Linked DNA regions of Anolis sagrei. The protein of the gene in region 1 binds, or shares a complex with, the protein of each later gene. Links are inferred from orthologs where the notes say so. Each region holds a gene or a part of one and is shown in the gene's direction. Other genes may lie near its edges.

The links.
Region 2: CENPA (region 1) and CENPC share a complex: the UniProt entries of both Homo sapiens proteins name them as parts of the CENPA-NAC complex. The link is inferred for Anolis sagrei from reciprocal best matches to the Homo sapiens genes CENPA and CENPC.
Region 3: the proteins of CENPA (region 1) and NTMT1 are in contact, whole or in part, in a crystal structure (PDB 5CVD), measured with the Homo sapiens proteins. The link is inferred for Anolis sagrei from reciprocal best matches to the Homo sapiens genes CENPA and NTMT1. Residues at the interface, in NP_001800.1 of Homo sapiens: Gly2, Pro3, Arg4, Arg5, Arg6, Ser7; in NP_001273725.1 of Homo sapiens: Tyr19, Trp20, Met30, Leu31, Gly32, Tyr34, Ile37, Trp136, Asn168, Ile175, Asp177, Asp180, Asp212, Glu213, Ile214, Tyr215.

The regions. Positions count from the first base shown.
Region 1 is NC_090022.1:15,640,594-15,648,651, reverse strand, and holds the start of CENPA (histone H3-like centromeric protein A), read left to right. Parts: upstream 1-5,042; 5' UTR 5,043-5,152; intron 5,153-8,058. Other genes in the region: zinc finger protein 850-like, read left to right, coding at 1-979. UniProt on the Homo sapiens protein: Histone H3-like nucleosomal protein that is specifically found in centromeric nucleosomes. Replaces conventional H3 in the nucleosome core of centromeric chromatin that serves as an assembly site for the inner kinetochore.
Region 2 is NC_090026.1:56,281,250-56,288,774, forward strand, and holds the start of CENPC (centromere protein C), read left to right. Parts: upstream 1-4,473; 5' UTR 4,474-4,587; coding exon 4,588-4,590; intron 4,591-7,525. UniProt on the Homo sapiens protein: Component of the CENPA-NAC (nucleosome-associated) complex, a complex that plays a central role in assembly of kinetochore proteins, mitotic progression and chromosome segregation.
Region 3 is NC_090031.1:3,641,140-3,648,987, forward strand, and holds the start of NTMT1 (N-terminal Xaa-Pro-Lys N-methyltransferase 1), read left to right. Parts: upstream 1-4,775; 5' UTR 4,776-4,893; intron 4,894-7,848. UniProt on the Homo sapiens protein: Distributive alpha-N-methyltransferase that methylates the N-terminus of target proteins containing the N-terminal motif [Ala/Gly/Pro/Ser]-Pro-Lys when the initiator Met is cleaved.

The DNA.
Region 1 (8,058 bases):
CCGGAAAGAGTCGCTTATAATCCATGAGCGATTCCATACCGGCGAGAAGCCATATAAGTGCTCCACATGTGGCAAAACCTTCAGCGATAAAATCGGCCGCCTCATCCACGAAAGGACCCACACTGGAGAGACGCCGTACAAATGTTCGGAGTGTGGCAAAAGCTTCGGCACACGCTGCAACCTCCTGAGGCACCGGAGAGTGCACACGGGAGAGAAACCGTACAAATGCTCGGATTGTGGGCAGAGTTTCAGGTACAGGCCGCAATTGGTGATTCATGAAGGAATCCACAAAGGAGAGAAGCCATACAAGTGTGCAGAGTGTGGAGAGAGTTTTAGCCAGACTCGGCACCTCGTTATACACAAATGGACCCACACTGGGGAGAGACCCCACAAATGTGCCGTCTGCAGCAAAAGCTTCAACCAGAAATCGGACCTTATTACGCACATGAGGACCCACACAGGGGAGAAACCATACGTCTGCGTAGAGTGTGGAAAGAGCTTCATTTCTAGCTGCCAGCTCCGAAAGCATGAGCGTATCCACACGGGCGAGAAGCCGTATCAGTGCTCCGAGTGCGGCAAGTGTTTCACATACAGCTCCCACCTCACTACACACAAACGGACACACACAGGGGAGAAGCCATACCAGTGTCCCGACTGCGGCAAGTGCTTCATCTCGAGCTCTCATTTAACCGCGCACACACGGACGCACACAGGCGAGAAACCGTATCAGTGTTCGTACTGCGGCAACGGCTTCATTCAAAGATCACAACTCGCTAAGCATGAAAGGTCGCACACAGGGGAGAAGCCCTTTGTATGTTCTGAGTGTGGCCAAAGTTTCCAGTGGAGCCAAGGGCTCAAAAAGCACATGCGGACGCACACTGGAGAGAAGCCATACAAGTGCCCGGAGTGCAAGAAAACATTCTCCACTTCCTCAAACCTTTCTAGGCACCAGAAAATCCACACCAGGGATAGACAATAGAGGCTCTTAGAAAAGGGATGAAAACCCAGTAGCTCTGTGGATGTTGCTGGACTGCATCTCCTATCAGCCTTTACTTGCATAGGCCATGGTTGTTAGGGAAAACTACCCTAAATATAGCGGAGCATCCAAAAATCAAACAGGATACTAAAAGTTGAGCATTCAGCTCATTAGCAAGCAGAGTGTGAAGTGTCGTGTGATGTGGCTGTAAAGAATTCAGAGCTTGGGAGGTAAACATGCAGAGTCTAATCTTAAAAAATCATAAAAGGTTTATTTACAACTAGCTTTCCCCTGCCACGCATAGCTGTGGCCCAGTCTGGTGATCTGGAAAATAAAGTAATGAGAAAGTGTTGGCTTCTAATATATGTAATTCCTTTATGCTTGTGAGTAAACAGTATTTCTTGTTGTTTCTTTGTCAGTGTTGATGTGGAGAGTGTCTGGTTTGCCCACTCTGGAACATGCAACATATCATTGTCCTTCTTTAGGGGTCTCTTTCAAATCTATGATACTATATCTGTGTGTGTGAGAGAGAGAATCATATCAATCTATCTATATTTATGACTGGATGGCTCTTTGTCAGGAGGGCTCTGATTACATTTTCTTGCCCTGGTGAAGAGAGTTGGACTGGATGGCCTTAAGTATTTTCTGTTGGTCATGGGGGTTCTGTGTGGGAAGTTTGCCCCATTTCTGGGTTTCAGAATGCTCTTCAATTGTAGTGAATTATAAATCCCAGTAACTACAAATCCCAAATGTCAAGGTCTATTTCCTCCAAACTCCATCTGTGTTCATATTTAGGCATATGGAATTTTTGTGTCTAGTTTGGTCCAGATCCATCATTGTTTGAGTCCACAGTGCTGTCTGGATGTAGGTGAACTACAACTCCCAAACTCAAGGTCAATGCCCACCAAACCCTTCCAGTGTGTTCTGTTGGTCATGGAAGTCCTGTATGCCATGTTTGGTTCAATTCCATCATTGGTGGAGTTCAGAATGCTCTTTGATTGTAGGTGAACTATAAATCTCAGTAACTATAACTCCCAAATGTCAAGGTCTATTTCCCTTAAACTCCATCTGTGTTCATATTTGGGCATATGGAATATTCGTGCCAAGTTTGGTCCAGATCCATCATTGTTTGAGTCCACAGTGCTCTCTGGATGTGGGTGAACTATAATTCCCAAACTCAAGGTCAATGTCCACCAAACCTTTCCAGTATTTTCTGTTGGTCATGGGAGCCCTGTGTGCTAAGTTTGGCCCAGTTCCATCATTGGTGGAGTTCAGAATGCTCTTTGATTGTAGGTAAACTATAAATCCCAGCCACGACAATTCCCAAATGACAAAATCATATATATTTTTTAGTGGAGGACATAAATTGGACTGTTAGGTGTCTTGTGTCCAAATTTGGTGTCAATTCCCCCAGTGGTTTTTGAGTTCTGATGGGAGCACGAACTAACATTACATTTTTATTTATATAGATAGTAAACAACTAACTACATTTCTTTATGGTAAATAACTGGGTCTGAGCTACTCTGACACCCATCTCTTCTAAGGTTTCAAGAGAGGGGAAAACTCAATCACGACATCTCTCCTGACACACAAGCAGAAAGAGATCTCAAAACACACAGCACATACTCTTCATACCAAAGTGTAAGAAAGCAGAAGTCAGGTTTAAAAATGCTTGCAGTAGAAAAATATCCATTTTAAACAACTCATCAGAATGAGAGCTGAAAGGGAAAGGGGAGAAGAAATAGATACATTCCCAGCTGTCATTCAGGAGTCATGGGGGAAGGGAAACACTTAGTCTATACTAAGCTAACTAAACTGTTCCTCGTTGAGGACTTGAGACTTGGACAGTGTGGGGTTGAATTCCAACAATGCTAAGGAATGCTCAGAACTCTGTCTCTAAGCATTATGAACCCACAAAGTTCTTCATTCTTTAGTCTATTGCCTGAATGTTTTTTATAAGGTAGTAACTTTAGAAATAAAGAAAAAACATTTCAAATACAAGCACAAACCTTTTGTTTTGATTGAGAAAAATATTGGATTCACACCTAATGCGATGAATAAATTTGTCTAATGTATTGTCGAAGGCTTTAATGGCCAGAATCACTGGATAGTCTTCCGAGATCGGTGTACTGGAGGTGGGTCCATAGGTGACTGTGGAGCCCTATTTGTGATCTGCATGTTCTCCCGCAGTGAGGGCATTGGTTTCCAGGTGGAAGGCGGTCCTTGTCAGGGTTGGCTTGACGCGCCTTCCTCTTGGCACGTTTCTCTCCTTCGCCCTCCATTCATGCCTCTTCAAATTCTGCAGCATTGCTGGTCACAGCTGACCTCCTGCTGGAGCGCTCAAGGGTCGGGGCTTCTCAGTTTTTAGTGTCTATGCCAGAGTTTTTAAGGTTGGCTTTGAGCCCATCTTTAAATCTCTTTTCCTGTCCACCAACATTATGTTTTCCGTTCTTGAGTTCGGAGTAGAGCAACTGCTTTGGGAGACTGTGGTCGGGCATTTGGACAACGTGGCTGGTTCAGCAGAGTTGGTGGCGGAGGACCATCGCTTCAATGCTAGTGGTCTTTTCTTCTTCTTTGTCCGCTTGTCTTCCCAAGAGATTTGCAGGATTTTCCAGAGGCAGCGCTGATGGAATCGTTCCAGGAGTTGCATGTGATGTCTGTAGACAGTCCATGTCTCACAGGCGTATAGCAGGGTTGGGAGGACACTAGCTTTATAAACACTCACCTTGGTCTACCTACGGATGTCCCGGTCCTCAAACACTCTCTGCTTCATTCGGAAAAATGCTGCACTCGCAGAGGGGGGTAGTCTCTCATCTGGTATCACCCATGGATTGAGGTGCTGAGTTTGGGCCTGCCACTTTTGGACTCTCGCTTGCTGAGGTGTTCCAGCAAATGTCTCTGTAGATCTAAGAAAACTAGGTGCTGCAAAGGAGCTGTAAGGCAGTATATCTTCCAGCCAAGCTGTAGGGCTGTATAACCCCAGCCAAGCTGTAGATGAAGCTTTCTACAGGAGCTCTTGGTATTATGTCCTGCATGGAAAGCTTCTCTGTGTGGACTGAACCCAAACTGGCTCCTTTTCCCTCCAAAAACCCCAAAAGGGGGCGGGACCAGGGAACCTAACTATAATTGACAGGTGGCTTGCCCTATGATTGCAGCCAAAAGAAGCCACCTATCTGCAGAGTCCCAGAAACTTAGGACGACAACAAACATTCAATGCAAAGCAAACAAAATTGGAGCTCCTGGTACAGCTGTACCTGCACAATAGCGATGAAGATGGAGAATAAAGTTGGGGCAATAACACATCCCTGTTTAATGTATTGTCGAAGGCTTTCATGGCTGGAATCACTAGGTTCTTGTGGGTTTTTTTCGGGCTATAGGGCCATGTTCTAGAGGCATTTCTCCTGACGTTTTGCCTGCATCTATGGCAAGCATCCTCAGAGGTAGTCAGGTCTGTTGGAATTAGGACAATGGGTTTATATATCTGTGGAATGGCTGGGGTGGGGCAAAGAGCTCTTCTCTGCTGGAGCTAGGTGTGAATGTTTCAACTGACCACCTTCATTAGCATTTGAAGGCCTGGCTGAGCCTGGGAAAATCTTTTGTTGAGAGGTGTTAAGATGTGCTGTTTTGCTGTTGTACTCCCTGTTTGACACCTGATTCCACCTTAAATGGGTCACTTTGGGAGCCATTGCTGTCCAAGAACTAATGCATTCTGACACCACTTGTACCGCCATGGCTGAATGCTTTGGGGTCTAGGAAGGCTAAAGACCTTGTGAAGCTACAACTCCTAAGAGCCCATAGCATTCCAAACTGCATTCATTCAACAGCAGACAGGATCTTTCTTTGGCCCGCCCTCCTTTAGTTACCATTGGCTCCTTTCCCCCGTCACTCATCGCTGTCACACCAACCGCAGCCAATCGCCATCAAGACTCGGGGAAATTCTATGACCCAACTAAGTGGACCCAAGTTCTAATTCCCATTGGTCAGATTGTTGCTTGTGCTTCTCTTCCTCCGGCCAAGATTCGAAAGGCGTCGTTCGCGGAGCGGATTGGCTGGCGTTCCAGGAAGGGGGCGGGATTTGTGACCTGGCGCGCAAATTCAAAGAGAGGGAACTGGAGGAAGAGGAAGCAGAGCTGGTGTGAATTCTGGGTTGTTGCTGTTCCTGAGTCGCCGCAGGAGGTGAGAACGTCCAGTTTAGGGGAGTGCGCCCTGACGTCACAAATGCCCGCCCAGGGTGCATCTGCACTGTAGAATTAACACAGTTTGACACCACTTTTAAATGCCATGCTTCAAAACGCTATGAGGCATGGAATGTTTGCCTTTTTTCTTTGTTGGAGTCTCCTCGGGGTGATAGGCCGGAATATAAATAAAGTAGTGTTATATTATTATTATATTTAGAAGTAAAGAAAGATAATGTGTGTGTGTATGTATGTGTGTACACACACACACAATTATATATGTATGTGTATGACATATCTTGGAGGTGAGACCTGGATCCAGACGTGAAAATAATTTTTGTTTCATATTCTGTGTTTATCCTATTGTATATTTTGTTATTGTTTGCATTTTATTTGATGTTATTATTTGTTGGATGTATTTTACTTTGCATTATTGTAATTGTTGGGCTTGGCCCTGTGTTAGCCACCCTTGGGGAGATGGTGGTGGGGTATACAGTTTATTATAATGGCGCTCCATGCAGTCATGCTGGCCACATCACCTAGGAGGTGTCTACGGACAATGCTGGCTCTTTGGCTTAGAAATGGAGATGAGCACCACCCCCCAGAGTGGGGCATGACTGGACTTAATCTTTACCTTTATTATTATTATTATTATTATTAGACGACTACTAAACGACTCCGGCCCAGTTTACCTGTCCGAACGGATTCTCCCCTATGAACCATCAAGGTTGTTAAGATCTTCTGGAGGGGCCCTGCTCTCGGTCCCGCCACTCTCGCAATTGCGTCTGTTGGGACGAGGGACAGGGCCCTCTCGGTGGTGGCCCCTCAGCTCTGGAACTCTCCTACTGGAGAACTGCCCCTTCTCTCCTGACTTTTAGAAAACTGGTGAAAACTTGGCTCTGGAATTTAGCATTTGATGAGTGAGTCAATAAACTCCTGACCACACGGACGGATGGCGATGAATTGTGATTTCGTTCTGACGACTTGGCCTTATGTAATTATATGACTGTATTTTAATGTGTTAGTGTATCATGGGATGTGATGTTTTAAACTACTGTTTATGAATCTTTTGTTGTGAACCGGACTGAGTCCCTCTGCGGAGGTCGAGAAGACCGGTATAATAAAAGTTCAAAATAAATAAATAAAATAATAAATAAATATTGACACAAAAGCACAGTATGTCACAGCAAACGAGATCTATATGCTGGATTTCGTATCACAAAATCACAAGTTGTACACTTCCCAAGCGTCTAGGACTGTGTGATGTATTTTCGAATGATGCGCACAGATCCAAGTAAGGTGGCCTTTTGCAGTTGATAGATCGTGATTTTTTCGATGTTTGTTGTTGTTATTAGAAACACAACAAGATGAGTCCACAGCAGATCACACGTTGGACACTTCCCAAGTGTCTAGGACTGTGTGATGTATCTGCAAATAATGCGTGCAGATCCCAGTAGGGTGGCCTTTTGCAGCTGGCAGATGGTAATCTTATCAGCGCAAATTGTGCTTAAATGCAGGCCAAGATCGTTAGGCACTGCACCCAGTGTGTCGATCACCACTGGGACTATCTTGACTGGCTTGTGTCAGAGTCTTTGCAGTTCAATCTTTAAATCCTCATATTGTGTCAGTTTCTCCAGTTGTTTCTCTTCAATCCTGCTGTCACCTGGGATTGCAACATCGATGATCCACACTGTTTTTTAACACGATTGTGAGGTCAGGAGTATTGTGCTCCAAAACTCTGTCTGTCTTAATTAGGAAGTCCCAGAGTAGTTTGACATGTTCATCTTCTGTAACTTTTTCCGGCTTGTGATCCCACCAGTTCTTTGTTGCAGGCAGATGGTATTTGTGGCACAGGTTCCAATGAATCATCTGAGCAATGGTGTTATGCCTCTGCTTATAGTCTGTCTGTGCGACATTATTATTATTATTATTATTATTATTATTATTATTATTGTTTTATATATATCATAGACATGTACCCGTAAAATAATAATTTTGTATACTAATTGTAATAATTTTGTCCATGAAAAGAAGTCTGTGTTCACTGAACCATCAGAAAGCAAGAGTTTTTGTTTGCAAGGCTGAGGGGAAAGTTATGGGAAGGGAATATCTTTGGATTTGAATGTTTTGTTTTCTATTTAAGTGCTTATGATGTTCTTTTAAAATTTAATGTGTTGGATTTAAATGGCATTTTTTGAAAACGTAATGACATTTAATTCAAAAAGCTAGCTAGCAAGCAAAGGTCTGAAAAAAATCACCATGTCAGCAACCCATGCTGGCATTTTTGGATTTTGGTGGCTTTTATTCCAAGGTAAGGAATGTTCTGCCCATAATGTAGTCCACTTCTCTCAAAGTCTTTCTGCTCAGCCATGGGAGCCCAGGGTTGGGTAAGCCTGAGCAAGTCCCTCTCTTTCAGCCTCTAAGGGAAGCAATGATAAGCTCGCTCTGAGCAAAGTTTGCCACGAACCCTATGAAGAGTTTGCCTTTGCATCGCAGTAAAGTTGGAAATAACATACACAACAATATGGAACTGCAGTCTATTTGTATGCATGTATTAACTGGCCAAGACTGTAGTCCTGTATGCATTTACCTTGAATTGGATTTCCCCGATCTATTTATTTATTTCGTATCAAAAGCATTGCATAAAATAGTATGAAACTATTAAAAGTAGAAGGAGCACAAGTGGCTAAATATCTTTTGACCAAAAATGGGCAACAGCGACCGCATTGTCTGTAGCCTCAAACAATTCTTCCTCTGCGCATGAGGCAGGGCATTGTGGGAAAGAATACAATTGTGGAGTTGTTTGTTCTCCATTTTACCAGGTTGTCTTTTGATTTGCCCACCTCACTTCTGAGTCTGTTCAGGGAATTCCAAGTTGCCCATTCTTGGTTTGCCCCTGGAGGAAGA
Region 2 (7,525 bases), on another chromosome or scaffold:
ATGTCCAGTCTCGATAAAATAGTAAAGAGTAGAGACATCAGACTGGCAACAAAGATCCGCCTAGTCAAAGCCATGGTATTCCCTGTAGTAACCTACGGATGTGAGAGCTGGACCTTAGGGAAGGCTGAGCGAAGGAAGATCGATGCTTTTGAGCTGTGGTGTTGGAGGAAAGTGCTGAGAGTGCCTTGGACTGCGAGAAGATCCAACCAGTCCATCCTCCAGGAAATAAAGCCCGACTGCTCACTGGAGGGAAAGATACTAGAGACAAAGTTGAAGTACTTTGGCCACATCATGAGGAGACAGGAAAGCCTAGAGAAGACAATTATGCTGGGGAAAGTGTAAGGCAAAAGGAAGAGGGGCCGACCAAGGGCAAGATGGATGGATGGCATCCTTGAAGTGACTGGACTGACCTTGAGGGAGCTGGGGGTGGTAACGGCCGACAGGGAGCTCTGGCGTAGGCTGGTCCATGAGGTCACGAAGAGTCGGAGACGACTGAACGAATGAACAACAACAACAACAACAAATGGATCAGTAAACTAAATCGATCAGTACAACCAGAGATATGTCAGTATACCATCGGAAGATGGAACTCCCAGTTTGGAAGATGGTCAAAATGTTACTGGGGAGGAACAGAGGATAAGTTCAACTGGCCCTAGATGTGATGACACAGCTAGCTATTTTTAAATTATATTTTGATGTTGTTTATTGTTTATGATTTGACCTGTTTTGTTATGTCTTGTTGGGATTGAATGTTTGCCATTTTTTTTTTGTTGTTCACCGCCCTGAGTCCCTTGCCTCATGTGATGAAATCCTAAGACATAGCCCACCGTCTGAAGTAAGATGGGCTTTAGAAATCATAATCAACTCTCAAGTTTCATTATGAACAGTGACAATAAAGCATACTTACACTATAAATCTAGCAATTATCTCTTTCCTCACCATTCTGCATCCAGAAAACAGAGGAGAAAGAAAGTAACTAGGAACTTTAGTACCCTCACTAAATAAGGGAAGCTTTGGAATTCTTCAAAGTAAGCCGTGACAAATGAACTGATATAAAATCAATATAGAAGTTGTCAATTTAGGACTAGTGTTGTTATGCAAGGCACTGATTGGAAAGATCACAATAATTCAGAGTTAACAAATGTCAGCTGGCAATAAAAAGTTAATCCGTCTGTGGTTCTATTTGTGTAAAATATAATTATAAATAAATTGATTATTGAGTGGTGTGAACAATATTAAATACATGATAGAAGAGGTCTCTACTTACATATTTACAAAGACAGTATGAAACCATGTTAAGTACTATTTTTCTGTTACCAACAATGCAATAGACTGACAATTATAAGTAACAGTTATTTACAGTTATAGAGAAATAAATCTTGTAATGTTCCATAGGGTCTATTGAAAAACATGTGGCATAATGTAAAATAAACCATGTAAAGGTCACATTGGATCAGCCCACACACTGCCTTGCCAGATAAAGAAAATATGCCACGCAAATGAACAATAAAAAACACGAAGTTTCCTCTTCTTAATTCAGAACATATGTCTAAAATGATCAGTTGCATCAACTCACTAAATGTCCTTTCAGAGAGATCTAAAATTGTATTTTTGACCATATGAAAAGCCTTCTTTTCAGCAGAATCAAATCAGTCTGTCTCTGTTTCTCTTATCTAACATCTGCATAGTTCAAGCCTGTAAAGTGCAACAGTATCCAAAAGTTCCAGGCTCAGCCATCACCCCATGCATTGCCCAACCAATTATTTTGAGTTGACACTCACTCACCGATTGCTTGCATGCTTCAACAAAACATGCATAGGACTATAACTTGGGTTAATTATGGTACATCTTTGCAAGAAGTATTTGACTGCAAGCTGAATTACCGTAAGTTATCTTATACTGTACTTCAACAAAGATCCCTAGGGGAGTTCACATTTTGTCATTTGGGATTTGTAGTCGCTGGGATTTATAGTTCACTTACAATCAAAGAGCATTCTGGACTCCACCAACAATGGAATTGAACCAAACTTGACACACAGTTCTCCCATGACCAACAGAAAATCCTGGAAGGGTTTGGTGGGCATTGACCTTGAGTTTGGGAGTTGTAGTTCACCTACATCCAGAGATCACTGTGGACTCAAATGATGGATCTGGACCAAACTCTACACAAATACTCAATACGCCTAAATGTGAACACTGGTAGAGTTTGGGGGAAATAGAATATTGACATTCGGGAGTTGTAGTTGTGGGATTTATAGTTCACCTACAATCACAGAGCATTCTGAATCCGACCAACGATAGAATTGGGTCCAGGGAAGTCATGCTACCCCTCTTCCACTTTGGTTAGACCACACCTGGAATATTGTGTCCCATTCTGGGCACCACAATTCAAGAGAGATATTGACAAGCTTTGTATTTCTAGGTGCAAAGATTACTGCAGATGCAGACTGCGGCCAGGAAATCAGAAGACTTCTTGGGAGGAGAGCAATGTCCAGTCTCGATAAAATAGTAAAGAGTAGAGACATCACACTGGCAACAAAGATCCGCCTAGTCAAAGCCATGGTATTCCCTGTAGTCACCTACGGATGTGAGAGCCGGACCTTAGGGAAGGCTGAGCGAAGGAAGATCGATGCTTTTGAACTGTGGTGTTGGAGGAAAGTGCTGAGAGTGCCTTGGACCGCGAGAAGATCCAACCAGTCCATCCTCCAGGAAATAAAGCCCGGCTGCTCATTGGAGGGAAGGATACTAGAGACAAAGTTGAAGTACTTTGGCCACATCATGAGCAAAGCCTGGAGAAGACAATGATGCTGGGGAAAGTGGAAGGCAAAAGGAAGAGGTGCCGACCAAGGACAAGATGGGTGGATGGCATCCTTGAAGTGACTGGACTGATCTTGAAGGAGCTGGGGGTGGTGACGGCCGACAGGGAGCTCTGGCGTGGACTGGTCCATGAGGTCACGAAGAGTCGGAGATGACTGAACGAATGAACAACAACATTGACAAGCTGGAATGTGCCCAGAGGAGGACGATTAAAATGATCAAGGGTCTGGAGAACAAGCCCTATGAGGAGCGGCTTAAGGAGCTGGGCATGTTTAGCCTGAAGAAGAGAAGGCTGAGAGGAGATATGATAGCCATGTATAAATATGTGAGAGGAAGCCACAGGGAGGAGGGAGCAAGCTTGTTTTCTGCTTCCTTGGGGATTAGGACACAAAACAATGGCTTCAAACTTCAAGAAAGGAGATTCCATCTGAACATGAGGAAGAACTTCCTGACTGCGAGAGCCGTTCAGCAGTGGAACTCTCTGCCCCAGAGTGTGGTGGAGGCTCTTTCTTTGGAAGCTTTTAAACGGAGGCTGGATGGCCATCTGTCAGGGGTGATTTGAATACAATATTCCTGCTTCTTGGCAGGGGGTTGGACTGGATGGCCCATGAGGTCTCTTCCAACTCTTTGATTCTATGATTATTTTTAAAAATCAAACATTTATTGATAATAAGTCAGCATTTGCAAGACTTCTTAACAGGCTGGTTTTCCTTTTCATGAAGTACAGTTGAAGCATTTTCTGCAGAGTCCATTGTAAACCCTGAACATTGTTGTTAACAGATTTGTGGAAATGTCTAGGGAGTATTCAGAAATCTTTTACTGTTGCAATTTTTTGTGCTCTAAACAACATCATTTGACTCAGTTCTTGTGGGTTTTTTGGGCTATATGGCCATGTTCTAGAGGCATTTCTCCTGACGTTTCGCCTGCATCTATGGAAGCATCCTCAGAGGTGAGGACCTCACTACCTCTGAGGATGCTTGCCATAGATGCAGACGAAACGTCAGGAGAAATGCCTCTAGAACATGGCCATATAGCCCGAAAAAACCCACAAGAACTGAGTGATTCCAGCCATGAAGGCCTTCGACAATACATTGAACATCATTTGAGTTCGATATAATATGCAAATGCATTCAATGGTTCGTTATGATTTGGTTTTACTGGAATAATGGCCATCTGTCCGGGGTGCTTTGAATGCAATATTCCTGCTTCTTGGCAGGGGGTTGGACTGGATGGCCCATGAGGTCTCTTCCAACTCTTTGATTCTATGTGCAGTGTGCATAGGAATTCATTCATGGTTTTTTTCAAATTTTAATCTGGCCCTCCAACAGTTTGAGGGACTGTGACCTGGCCCTCTATTTAAACGTTTGAGGACTCCTGGTTTACACTGATCATAAAATGTAGCTTTCAAACTGATTTTTGAAAGCTGCAGCTTGCCTCAAACTGCAATAAATGGTCAGAACTGTAGATGAGGCCTAAGAGCTGGACTTTCGCCAAATGAACCCGCAAGCTGACATTCAACATGAGTCTACCATTATTGAGTCTATGGTAATCAGCCTTTCCTTCCGCCCGTCTTTAGCCGCGCGCACGCTCATCCGCGCGCGCATCTTTTTGTGACGGTAACAGAGACTTGGCCAATCAGCGGCCTTCTCTCCGGAGCGCGCGCGCGCTTGAGGCAGAGGTAAAGTTTTGAAATTATTTCCAGGGAGCGGCGTGACGAGAAGGCTGGTGTTTTGTCCTTTTGCGTCGGATGTGGATCAGAGGAATGCCGCAATGGTAACACCAAAGAGAAGGCGTTTCCCCGCCTTGACTTTAATAGATAACGAAAGCTGTCAAACGCCAGGGTACATTTATATTGTAGGAATTGTGGTTATTTTGGGATTGTTGTAGGTTTTTCGGGCTGTATGGCCATGTTCTAGAGGCATTCTCTCCTGACGTTTCGCCTGTATCTATGGCAAGCATCCTCAGAGGTAGTGAGGTCTGTTGGAAGTAGGAAAAAGGGTTTATATATCTGGAATGGCTGGGGTGGGGCAAAGAGCTCTTCTCTGCTGGAGCTAGGTGTGAATGTTTCAGCTGACCACCTTCATTAGCATTTGAAGGCCTGGCAGAGCCTGGGAAAATGTTCTGTTGAGAGGTGTTAAGATGTGCCTGGTTGTTTCCTCTCTGCTGTTTTGCTGTAGTAATTTTAGAGTTTTTTTAATACTGGTAGCCAGATTTTGTTCATTTTCATGGTTTCCTCCTTTCAGTTGAAATTGTCCACATGCTTGTGGATTTCAATGGCTTCTCTGTGTAGTCTGACATGGTGGTTGTTGGAATGGTCCAGCATTTCTGTGTTCTCAAATAATATGCTGTGTCCAGGTTGGTTCATCAGGTGTTCTGCCATGGCTGACTTCTCTGGTTGAAGTAGTCTGCAGTGCCTTTCATGTTCCTTGATTCGTGTTTGGGCAATGCTGCGTTTGGTGGTCCCCATGCAGACCTGTCCACAGCTGCATGGCACACGGCAGACTCCTGCAGAGGTGAGAGGATCCCTCTTGTCCTTTGCTGAACGTAGCATTTGTTGGATTTTCTTGGTGGGTTTGTAGATTGTTTGTATGTTGTGTTTCCTCATCAGCTTCCCTATGCGGTCAGTGGTTCCCTTGATGTATGGCAGGAACACTTTTCCTCTGGGTGGATCTTCATCTTGACTCTCGTGGCTTGTTCTTGGTCTTGCAGCTCTTCTGATGTCTGAGGTGGAGTATCCATTGGCCTGGAGAGCCCAGTTGAGGTGGTTCAGTTCATCTTGGAGGAGGTGGGATTTGCAGATTCTTTTTTTGCAGGGTCTGCCAAGGCTTTAATGATGCTTCTTTTTGACTTGGGTGATGGTTGGAGTTTTTATGTAGATATCTATCTGTGTGTGTGGGTTTTCTGTAGACGGTGTGACCCAATTGTTGATCTGGTTTGCGGATGACTAGGACATCTAGAAAAGGCAGTCTTCCTTCATTTTCTTTTTCCATTGTGAATTGGATTTTTGGGTGGATGTTGTTAAGATGGTCCAGGAACCTGCTGAGCTCTTCTTCTTCATGGCTCCAAATGGTGAAGGTGTCATCCACATATCTGAACCATATCGTGGGCTTTTTGGTTGCTGTCTCCAGGGCTTGTTTTTCAAAGTGTTCCATGTAGTGTTCCAAATGCTAATGAAGGTGGTCAGCTGAAACATTCACACCTAGCTTCAGCAGAGAGCTCTTTGCCCCACCCCAGTCATTCCACAGATATATAAACCCATTTTCCTATTTCCAACAGACCTCACTACCTCTGAGGATGCTTGCCATAGATGCAGGCGAAACGTCAGGAGAAATGCCTCTAGAACATGGCCCTATAGACCGAAAAAACCTACAAGAACCTAGTGATTCCAGCCATGAAAGCCTTCGACAATATTTTGGGGTTGTTGTAGGTTTTTCGGGCTGTATGGCCATGGTCTAGAGGCATTTCTCCTGACGTTTCGCCTGCATCTATGGCAAGCATCCTCAGAGGTAGTGAGGTCTGTTGGAACTAGGAAAATGGGTTTATATATCTGTGGAATGACCAGGGTGAGACAAAGGACTCTTGTCTGCTGGAGCTAGGTGTGAATGTTTCAACTGACCACCTTGATTAGCATATAATGGCCTGACAGTGCCTCGAGCAAACTTTTGTTGAGAGGTGATATTATATCTCCTTGTTTGTTTCCTCTCTGTTGTTATATTATATTTATACTAGCTGTGCCCTGCCACGCGTTGCTGTGGCCTATAGTAAAACTTATCAAAGTTGAGGTAGATATCTGGACTATTATGAAAGAGAGGTCCCTACCTATTCCTTCCCCCTTTTCCTCCTCCTTTCTCTCCTTTCTTCCTTCTCTACCTCTTTCTTTCTTTCACTACTTGGTATCATCCTTCTCTCTTTCCTTCATTCCCTCCCCCTTTCTTCCTTTGCCTTTCTTCCCTCCCTGTTTGCTTCCTTCTTTCACTTTTTATTTCCTTTTATTTCACCACCATCATAACAATAACAATAATGCAATGCATTGCCTCTGGGACCTGACACCTCTCCCATTCCCCCTAAAAGGGTCTCATAGGAACAATAGCATAATAATAATAATAGAAATAACAACCTTTACCCGCCACGTGTTGCTGTGGCCAATCTTCCCTCTTTCTCTCCTTCTTTCCCTCCCTCCCTCCCTCCCTCCCTCCCTCCTTCCTTCCTTCCTTCCTTCCTTCCTTCCTTCCTTCCTTCCTTCCTTCCTTCCTTCCTTCCCATCTTTCCTTCTCCTCTTCTTTCTCTCTTTCCTTCCTTCCCCCTTTTTCTTTCTCTTCTGCTGTCTCTCTTTTCTTTCCTTCCATCTTTCCTTTTCTTTCCTTTTCTTCTTCCTCTAACTTTCCTTCCTTCCCCCTTTTTCTTTACCTCCCTTTCTCTTTCTTCCTTCTTTCCTTCCTTCCTGTCTTTCCTAGATTTTGACAGGGCGGGAAGGGGCGGGGTGGGGTTTGGAGGTGGCGTGAAGTAAAAGGAGGTAAGATTGGGGTGGGGGAGTGATGGAGCGTGGGGTTGCGTGTGTGTGTGCGGCGGCGGGGGGAGTGATGGAACCTGGGGTTGTGTGTGTGTGTGCGGCGGCGGGGGAAGTGGGGTTGCGTGTGTGTGCGGCGGTGGGGGGAGTGATGGAGCGTGGGGTTGCGTGTGTGTGTGCGGCGGCGGGGGGAGTGATGGA
Region 3 (7,848 bases), on another chromosome or scaffold:
CTACTACTAATAAATAATGATATAATAATATACGACTACTGTTACTAATAAAAGAATATTTTATAATGTAATATACTAATAATATTTAATAATACTAATATATACTACCACTGCTACTAAATAATAATAATAATAATAACAACAACAACAACAACAATAACTATATAATATACTTATGCTAATATTAAATAATACTAATAATCAGGGCCAGCTAACACTTCCCAACAAAGGATTCCCCCAGGCAGGAAGCAGCCAGGCTTTGAAGCTGCAAGGCCATTCAATGCTAATCAAAGTGGCCAATGGCAACATTCACACTTGCCTCAAGCAGACAAGAGTTCCTTCTCCCACCCTGGACATCATTCCACAGATATATAAACCCCACTTGCCTAGTTTTCAAGAGACCCCATAACCTCTGAGGATGCCTTATATTAATAAGAATATGAATTGAGTAAATAATTATATATTATAAGTAAGTAATACTAAATAATAAAATTAAGCCAGTCATACTAAACAATACCAATCATATGATTTGAGTAAATAATACATAAATGATAAGTAGTTAATTATAATATTATATAATATAATATACTATCACTGCTACTAATAAACTAATAATAATTTATAATAAAACAATATACTAATAATAGTTAATAATTATAATACTATACTACTACTGCTACTAATAAAATAGTAATAATAATATATACTATATTATAATGAAATGAATTCAATCATATTAATACCAATCATATTAAATGAGTAAATAATAATAAATAAATAATAAACAATGCTACATGATAAAGTTAAGTCAATCATGCTAATATAAATTAATAGGTAAAGGTAAAGGTTGTCCCCTGACATTAAGTCCAGTTGTGTCTGACTCTGGGGTGTGGTGCTCATCTCCATTTCTAAGCCGAAGAGCCGGCGTTGTCCGTAGACACCTCCAAGGTCATGTGGCCGGCATGACTGCATGGAGCACCGTTGGAAAAATTCTATCTATATACAAATTGGAAAAATATAAATTAATACTGTTATGCAAATCATCATCAACATGATACAAATTGGAAAAATAGCAAAAATAAGAAAGATACCAAGGGATAAAAATTGTGTCAAGAATGAAAACAAGAATAATGTGAGTAAATAATAATATTAATTAAGTCATGGTAATAATAATAATGGAGTAAAACTGGAGTAAGTACCTAATACTACATAATAAAATTAAGTCAGTTATACTAAGTAATACATATAAATTAATAATAATAATCAATCAATAATAATCAATAATCGGAATTTAGAGCGTCAGGCCTCGTTGAAAAAGGCTATCTGTGCTCCAGCTAAAAAACGGGGGAAATTTTGGGGACCGAAATGGCTTTTGGGGTATTTTAAAAAAACAGGGATGGATAGGGTTTCTGTAAGGAGCGAGGAATGCCATTGTCCCCGTCTTTGGAAAAGAGACAAGAAAACCTTAAGTCCCAATGACCACTGGAGGTCAGCTTTTCAATAATATAGTGCAATCCAACTTTATTTGAGGGAATATCTTTCATGCTCACTGTCTCTCCAAAGAAGAAGAGGCCAGGAGAGAAACAGCAGCAGAAGGAGGAGGAGAAGGAGGAGAAGGGAGGCAGAGCGCTCACTGTCTCTCTCTACACACAGAACAGTGCATCCCATGGCTTGGAAGGAACAAGGGCGTGCAGAGATTATCATATCATAACACTATATAATATAATATAATATAATATAATATAATATAATATAATCACCATATAATATAATATAATATTTATTATAATAATATAATATAATTATTCATCTAGCTATCTAACAATTTATATTATATTATATTGCATAATAGTATATAATGTGTAATATTGCATTGCAATACAGTATATCATATTATATTACAATATCTATATCTACCATATATCTAGCTATCTATCTATCTATATAGGTAGGTGTGTGTGTATATATATGTGTGTGTGTGTGTGTGTATATGGATGTTCGAACAGGCATTTGGTTAATCGGTGCAATGAATGTGATGATTACAGGATTGGTAATATGGACGACGAAACTGGATCACGATTTGGTCATGAGATGCATTGGATTGTTGTTGTGCCAATATTGTGTATTATGCTTTTATGGTTTTAAATTGTATATTGCTGACTGTTGTATCTTGTTGTAAACCGCGTTGAGTCGCCAGCTAGGCTGAGAAACTGCGGTATACAAAGTAAAGTAAATATATATATATATATATATATATATATATAGTATATTATAGTAAAAAAGGTTTTCCCCTTGACATGAAGTCTAATTATGTCTGACTCGGGGGGGGGGGGGGGGTGGTGGTGGTGTAGAGTATCTCCATTTCTAAGCTAAAGAGCTGGCGTTGTCCATAGACCCCAGGCATGACTGCATGGAGCGCCGTTACCTTCCCGCCTGAATGGTACCTTTTGGTCTACTCACATTTGCATGTTTTCAAACTACTAGGGTGGGCAGAAGTTGGGGCTAACAATTGGAGCTCACTCCAGATTTGAACTAGCGACCTTTTGGTCAGCAAGTTCAGCTGCTCAGAGGTTTCACCCACTGCACCATCAGGGGCTCCTGTATATTATAGTACTCTATATTACAGTAGACTATATTACAGTGTGTATATATATATCATAATATAATATTATACTATAATATAATTATAATAATAAAAGCTATTAATCTATCCATCTAACAATTTATATTATATTTCATAATAATATATAATGTGTGTGTGTGTGTGTGTGTGTATATATATATATATATATATATATAATGTATTGCATAATAATATATAATGCAATACAATATAAACAATATAATATGAATAAACAACAAGAATATTATATTGTCATGTAATATGCAATACATATATATAGCATATTGTAGTAATCTATATTTCAGTCGTTTCCAACTCTTTGTAACCTCATGGACCCAGTCCACGCCAGAGCTCCCTGTCGGCCATCACCTCCCCCAGCTCCTTCAGAGTCAAGCCAGTTACTTCAAGGATGCCATCCATCCATCTTGTCCTTGGTCAGCCCCTCTTCCTTTTTCCTTCCATTTTCCCCAGTATATAATATTATACAGTACATATACACACATGGTAATATAATGTTATAACAATAATATATCTCTATCTATCTATCTTTATAATATCTATTATATTACATTATAATATATATAATATATATATTATACAATACAGTATACAAGATTATGGCAACAAGAATGATTGACAACTGGAAAATAGAGGGAGAAACCGTGGAGGCCGTGACAGACTTTGTATTTCTAGGTGCAAAGATTACTGCAGATGCAGACTGTAGCCAGGAAATCAGAAGACGCTTACTTCTTGGGAGGAGAGCAATGTCCAGTCTCGATAAAATAGTGAAGAGTAGAGACATCAGACTGGCAACAAAGATCCGCCTAGTCAAAGCCATGGTCTTCCCTGTAGTAGTCACCTACGGATGGGAGAGCTGGACCTCAGGGAAGGCTGAGCGAAGGAAGATCGATGCTTTTGAGCTGTGGTGCTGGAGGAAAGTGCTGAGAGTGCCTTGGACTGCGAGAAGATCCAACCAGCCCATCCTCCAGGAAATAAAGCCCGACTGCTCACTGGAGGGAAAGATACTAGAGACAAAGTTGAAGTACTTTGGCCACATCATGAGGAGACAGGAAAGCCTAGAGAAGACAATTATGCTGGGGAAAGTGGAAGGCAAAAGGAAGAGGGGCCGACCAAGGGCAAGATGGATGGATGGCATCCTTGAAGTGACTGGACTGACCTTGAAGGAGCTGGGGGTGGTAACGGCCGACAGGGAGCTCTGGCGTAGGCTGGTCCATGAGGTCACGAAGAGTCGGAGACGACTGAACGAATGAACAACAACAACAATACAGTATTATAAATATGATATACAATATAGGAAATATTACATTATATATAATATATAATGTATTATAATATATATATATAGAGAGAGAGTACAATATAGCCTATATTTATATTATATTACACTATATTATCCATGCCATATGCACAATGGAGGACCTTCTTATAGCAACACCAGAGGCACTCCAACTAGCCAGCTACTAGTCCATAATAAATAAACAAACAAACAAACAAACAAATAAATACACTATATCAGGGGTCCTCAAACGATGTTATATATAATATATAATATATAATACATTGCAATATAATACATCTGCATTCCACTCTTGTTGCATCTGGTGTCAATTTGAGACATGAAGACCTTCATAAATTCATCTGTAGACTGGAAAGCAATGGCATCTCTAGGCCTTTTCTAGGTACTCCAGGCAGTTCTATGATATCTTGGAAGTTATCATAAAGTTGGGTTAAAGGATGGAGAAAATGCCTAGAGTGGGAATGGTCCTCTACGGTCCATTTTTGGGCATTTTGGAGTCCAAAACATTGGACCAAGAAGTCCAAACTGTTGGCAAGAATGGTGATTTCTAATGTGTTCTAATCTTACGTTGATGTCTTTTAAGGTTTTATGTATTTTAATACTTTATTTTGACCTGTTTTGGTGATGGCATACAATGCTTTATGCCTTGAGTAGAGGCAGGTTAGAAATAATGATGATGATGATGATGATGATGATGATGATGATGCATTTCCAGGTCTGTTGTGATCTATGCCTCCCAACCTTTGCAATTGTTTTTCTCTCCTCCTGCTTCGTTCCCTCTTTCTTTCTTTCCTTCCTTCCCTCTTTCTTTTGCTGAAGCAGAAGCGAATGGGTTGACATTAGCAGCAAAGAGGGAAGTGAGTCACTCTGAAAGCCACTCGGGTTTCCATAAACCCACGCGTTTGGGAAAGGAAAGAACATCAGAACACATTGCCTTCCAAACATCTTCAAGGTTTCCCCCTCCTTATTTAATTTACTTTTATATTACATTTTTAAATTTCATTTCTTATTTTTTCAATTATAATTTTAATTTTAATTTATATTTATTGAAGTTTATTTCAATGCTTATTTTTTAATGTTTATTATATATCATTTTTCCGTTTAATTTTAATGTTTACTTTTATTTTTTTATTTAATTTTAATGTTTATTTTTATTTAGGGATGTTTATTTTTACGATTTTGGTTTTTAAACTTTCAAGTGGACACCCCAGCCACATACACACATACATAATTTTCACTTTTTATTATGTATATAGATAGATAGATAATCAGTTTGGAAGTTTCCCGAAGAATATGTTTACAGATCAAGGATTATTTTGGATATTATATTATATTTATCGTAGTATAGTATATATATATTCCGGATGGAAATTTGCTGAAGGATCCATTCACTGATGAAGGATTATTTCTAATACTTAGCAGGATAGTATAAGGACCCATTAATCTCTACAATTTGAGGATGCAGAGAAGAGTAGAGGGTGAATCCTGGCTCTGCCATAATATCTAAGGGGTTAATTTAGAAGGCTAAATATGTCCCTTTCTGGGCATTTTCTAGGTCAAACAAAACCTATTTCAGTGTGTTTCCCCTCCTGTGAATGGAAAGTAAGAGAAAGGTACTCAGAAATATGGGATTATTGAGTTTTTTTACCCCTCCTTTTTTGCTAAAGGGACAAAACCCTTGTGTCGCAAGAACTGACTCAGAAGAAGGAGCAAATATTTGGAGAGCCGTTTTTATCCGTCTGCCCGGCTTGCGGGACAAGGGCCCTGTTTTCTGGCTTTCAGTGCAAATAATCCTAGCCAAACATTCCCCTGGTTTGACTTGGATGTAAATAAGTCATGTCCCGTCCCCCCCAATTGAACACTTTAAGTGTGAGAGCTTGGTAAAGCCTAATAATAATAATAATAATAATAATAATAATCCATGATCCCAAGGTTCAAAGCTAGCAAATACTTCCAACTCTATGATTGTATTATTATTATTATTATTATTATTATTATTGTATTGTCGAAGGCTTTCATGGCCGGAATCACTGAGTTGTTGTAGATTTTTCCAGGCGATATGGCCATGTTCTAGAGGCATTTTCTCCTGACGTTTCGCCTGCATCTATGGCAAGCATCCTCAGAGATAGAGAGGTCTGTTGGAAGTAGGAAAATGGGTTTATATATCTGTGGAATGACCAGGGTAGGACAAAGGACTCTTGTCTGCTGGAGCTAGGTGTGAATGTTTCAACTGATCACCTTGATTAGCACTTCCAAGCCATTAAATGCTAATCAAGGGGGTCAGTTGAAACATTCACACCTAGCTCCAGGCACTGCACCCGTGTGCTGATCACCACTGCGACCACCTTGACTGGCTTGTGCCAGTCTTTGCATTATTATTATTATTATTATTATTATTATTATTATTTGAAACTCAACAAGATGAGTCCACAGCAGACACTCTGCTGGCTGTTGAATTGGATCACACGTCGGACACTTCCCAAGTGTCTAGGGCTGTGTGATGTATCGCCAAATAATGCGTGCAGATCCCAGTAAGGTGGCCTTCTGCAACTGGCAGATAGTAATTTTGTCAGTGCCGATTGTGTTTAAGTGCAGGCCTAGGTCTTGAGGCACTGCACCGAGTGTGCCGATCACCACTGGGACCCCCTTGACTGGCTTGTGCCAGAGTCTTTGCAGTTTGATCTTTAAATCATCATATTGTGTCACCTTTTCCTGTTGTTTCTCTGCAATCCTGCGGTCATCTGGGAGTGCAACATCGACGACCCATACTTTGTTTTTTAACACGATTGTGAGGTCAGGAGTCTTGTGCTCCAGAATTCTGTCTGTCTGAATTCGGAAGTCCCAGAGTACCTTGACGTGTTCATTCTCTGTAACCTTTTCTGGCTTGTGATCCCACCAGTTCTTTGTCACAGGCAGATGGTGTTTGTGGCACAAGTTCCAATGAATCATCTGAGCAACGGTGTTGTGCCTCTGCTTGGAATCTGTCTGTGTGATCTTCTTGCGGCAGTTGAGGATGGGATCTATTCTTTCACCTGCTTCCTTGCAGAGTCTACAGTTGGGATCTGTTGTCGACTTTTCAATTCTGGCTTGGATGGCGTTGGTTCGAATGGCTTGTTCTTGGGCTGCCAGAACCAGGTCCTCCTTTGTCTCCTTTTTCCGAGTTCCATTTGTGAGCCACAGCCATGTTTTTCTTTGTCCATTTCGCTCTCAATTTTTCCCAGGAACTGTCCAGGGAGAGCCTTCTTTGGCCAGTGTTCTCTTCTGCTCTGGATTGTGTTTTTATGGTATTCCCTCTTGTCTTTTGCACTTGAAGCAGTTTCCTACTCTTGACTTCCCTCAGTGTTGGTTTTTCACTGCCTTTCCCATCATCTACCAGTGTGTTTTTCTCTTCTTCTTCTACTGTTGGTTTCCCTTGCAGAAGCCCTCTCCTCTCTGCCTCCTGATTTTCTGGGTAGGTCAAGTCTGTCGACATCACTATGCAGGTGTAATGCGTAGTGGATGGCCATCAGTGGATGGCCCAGGGGTTGAGAGCCTTGATCGTATTTCCGCCATTTAATTTGCTCTTCAAAACTTTTCTGACTCTTTGGATATATTCTTTGCTGACCACATTTTTCACTTGCCCATGCTTGATATTGTCCCACTGTAGTATGCCTAGATTTTTATAGGCTTCAGGGTTATTGCACTTTATGGTATTATTATTATTATCATTATTATTATTATCATTATTATTATTATTATTATTATTACTATTATGCAGATCCTGGATGGCCATCTGTCGAGAAGGTAGCACTGTGTCTTCCTAGGATATTATTATTATTATTATTATTATTATTATTATTACGCAGATCCTGGATGGCCATCTGTCAAGAAGATAGCACTGTGTCTTCCTAGGATATTATTATTATTA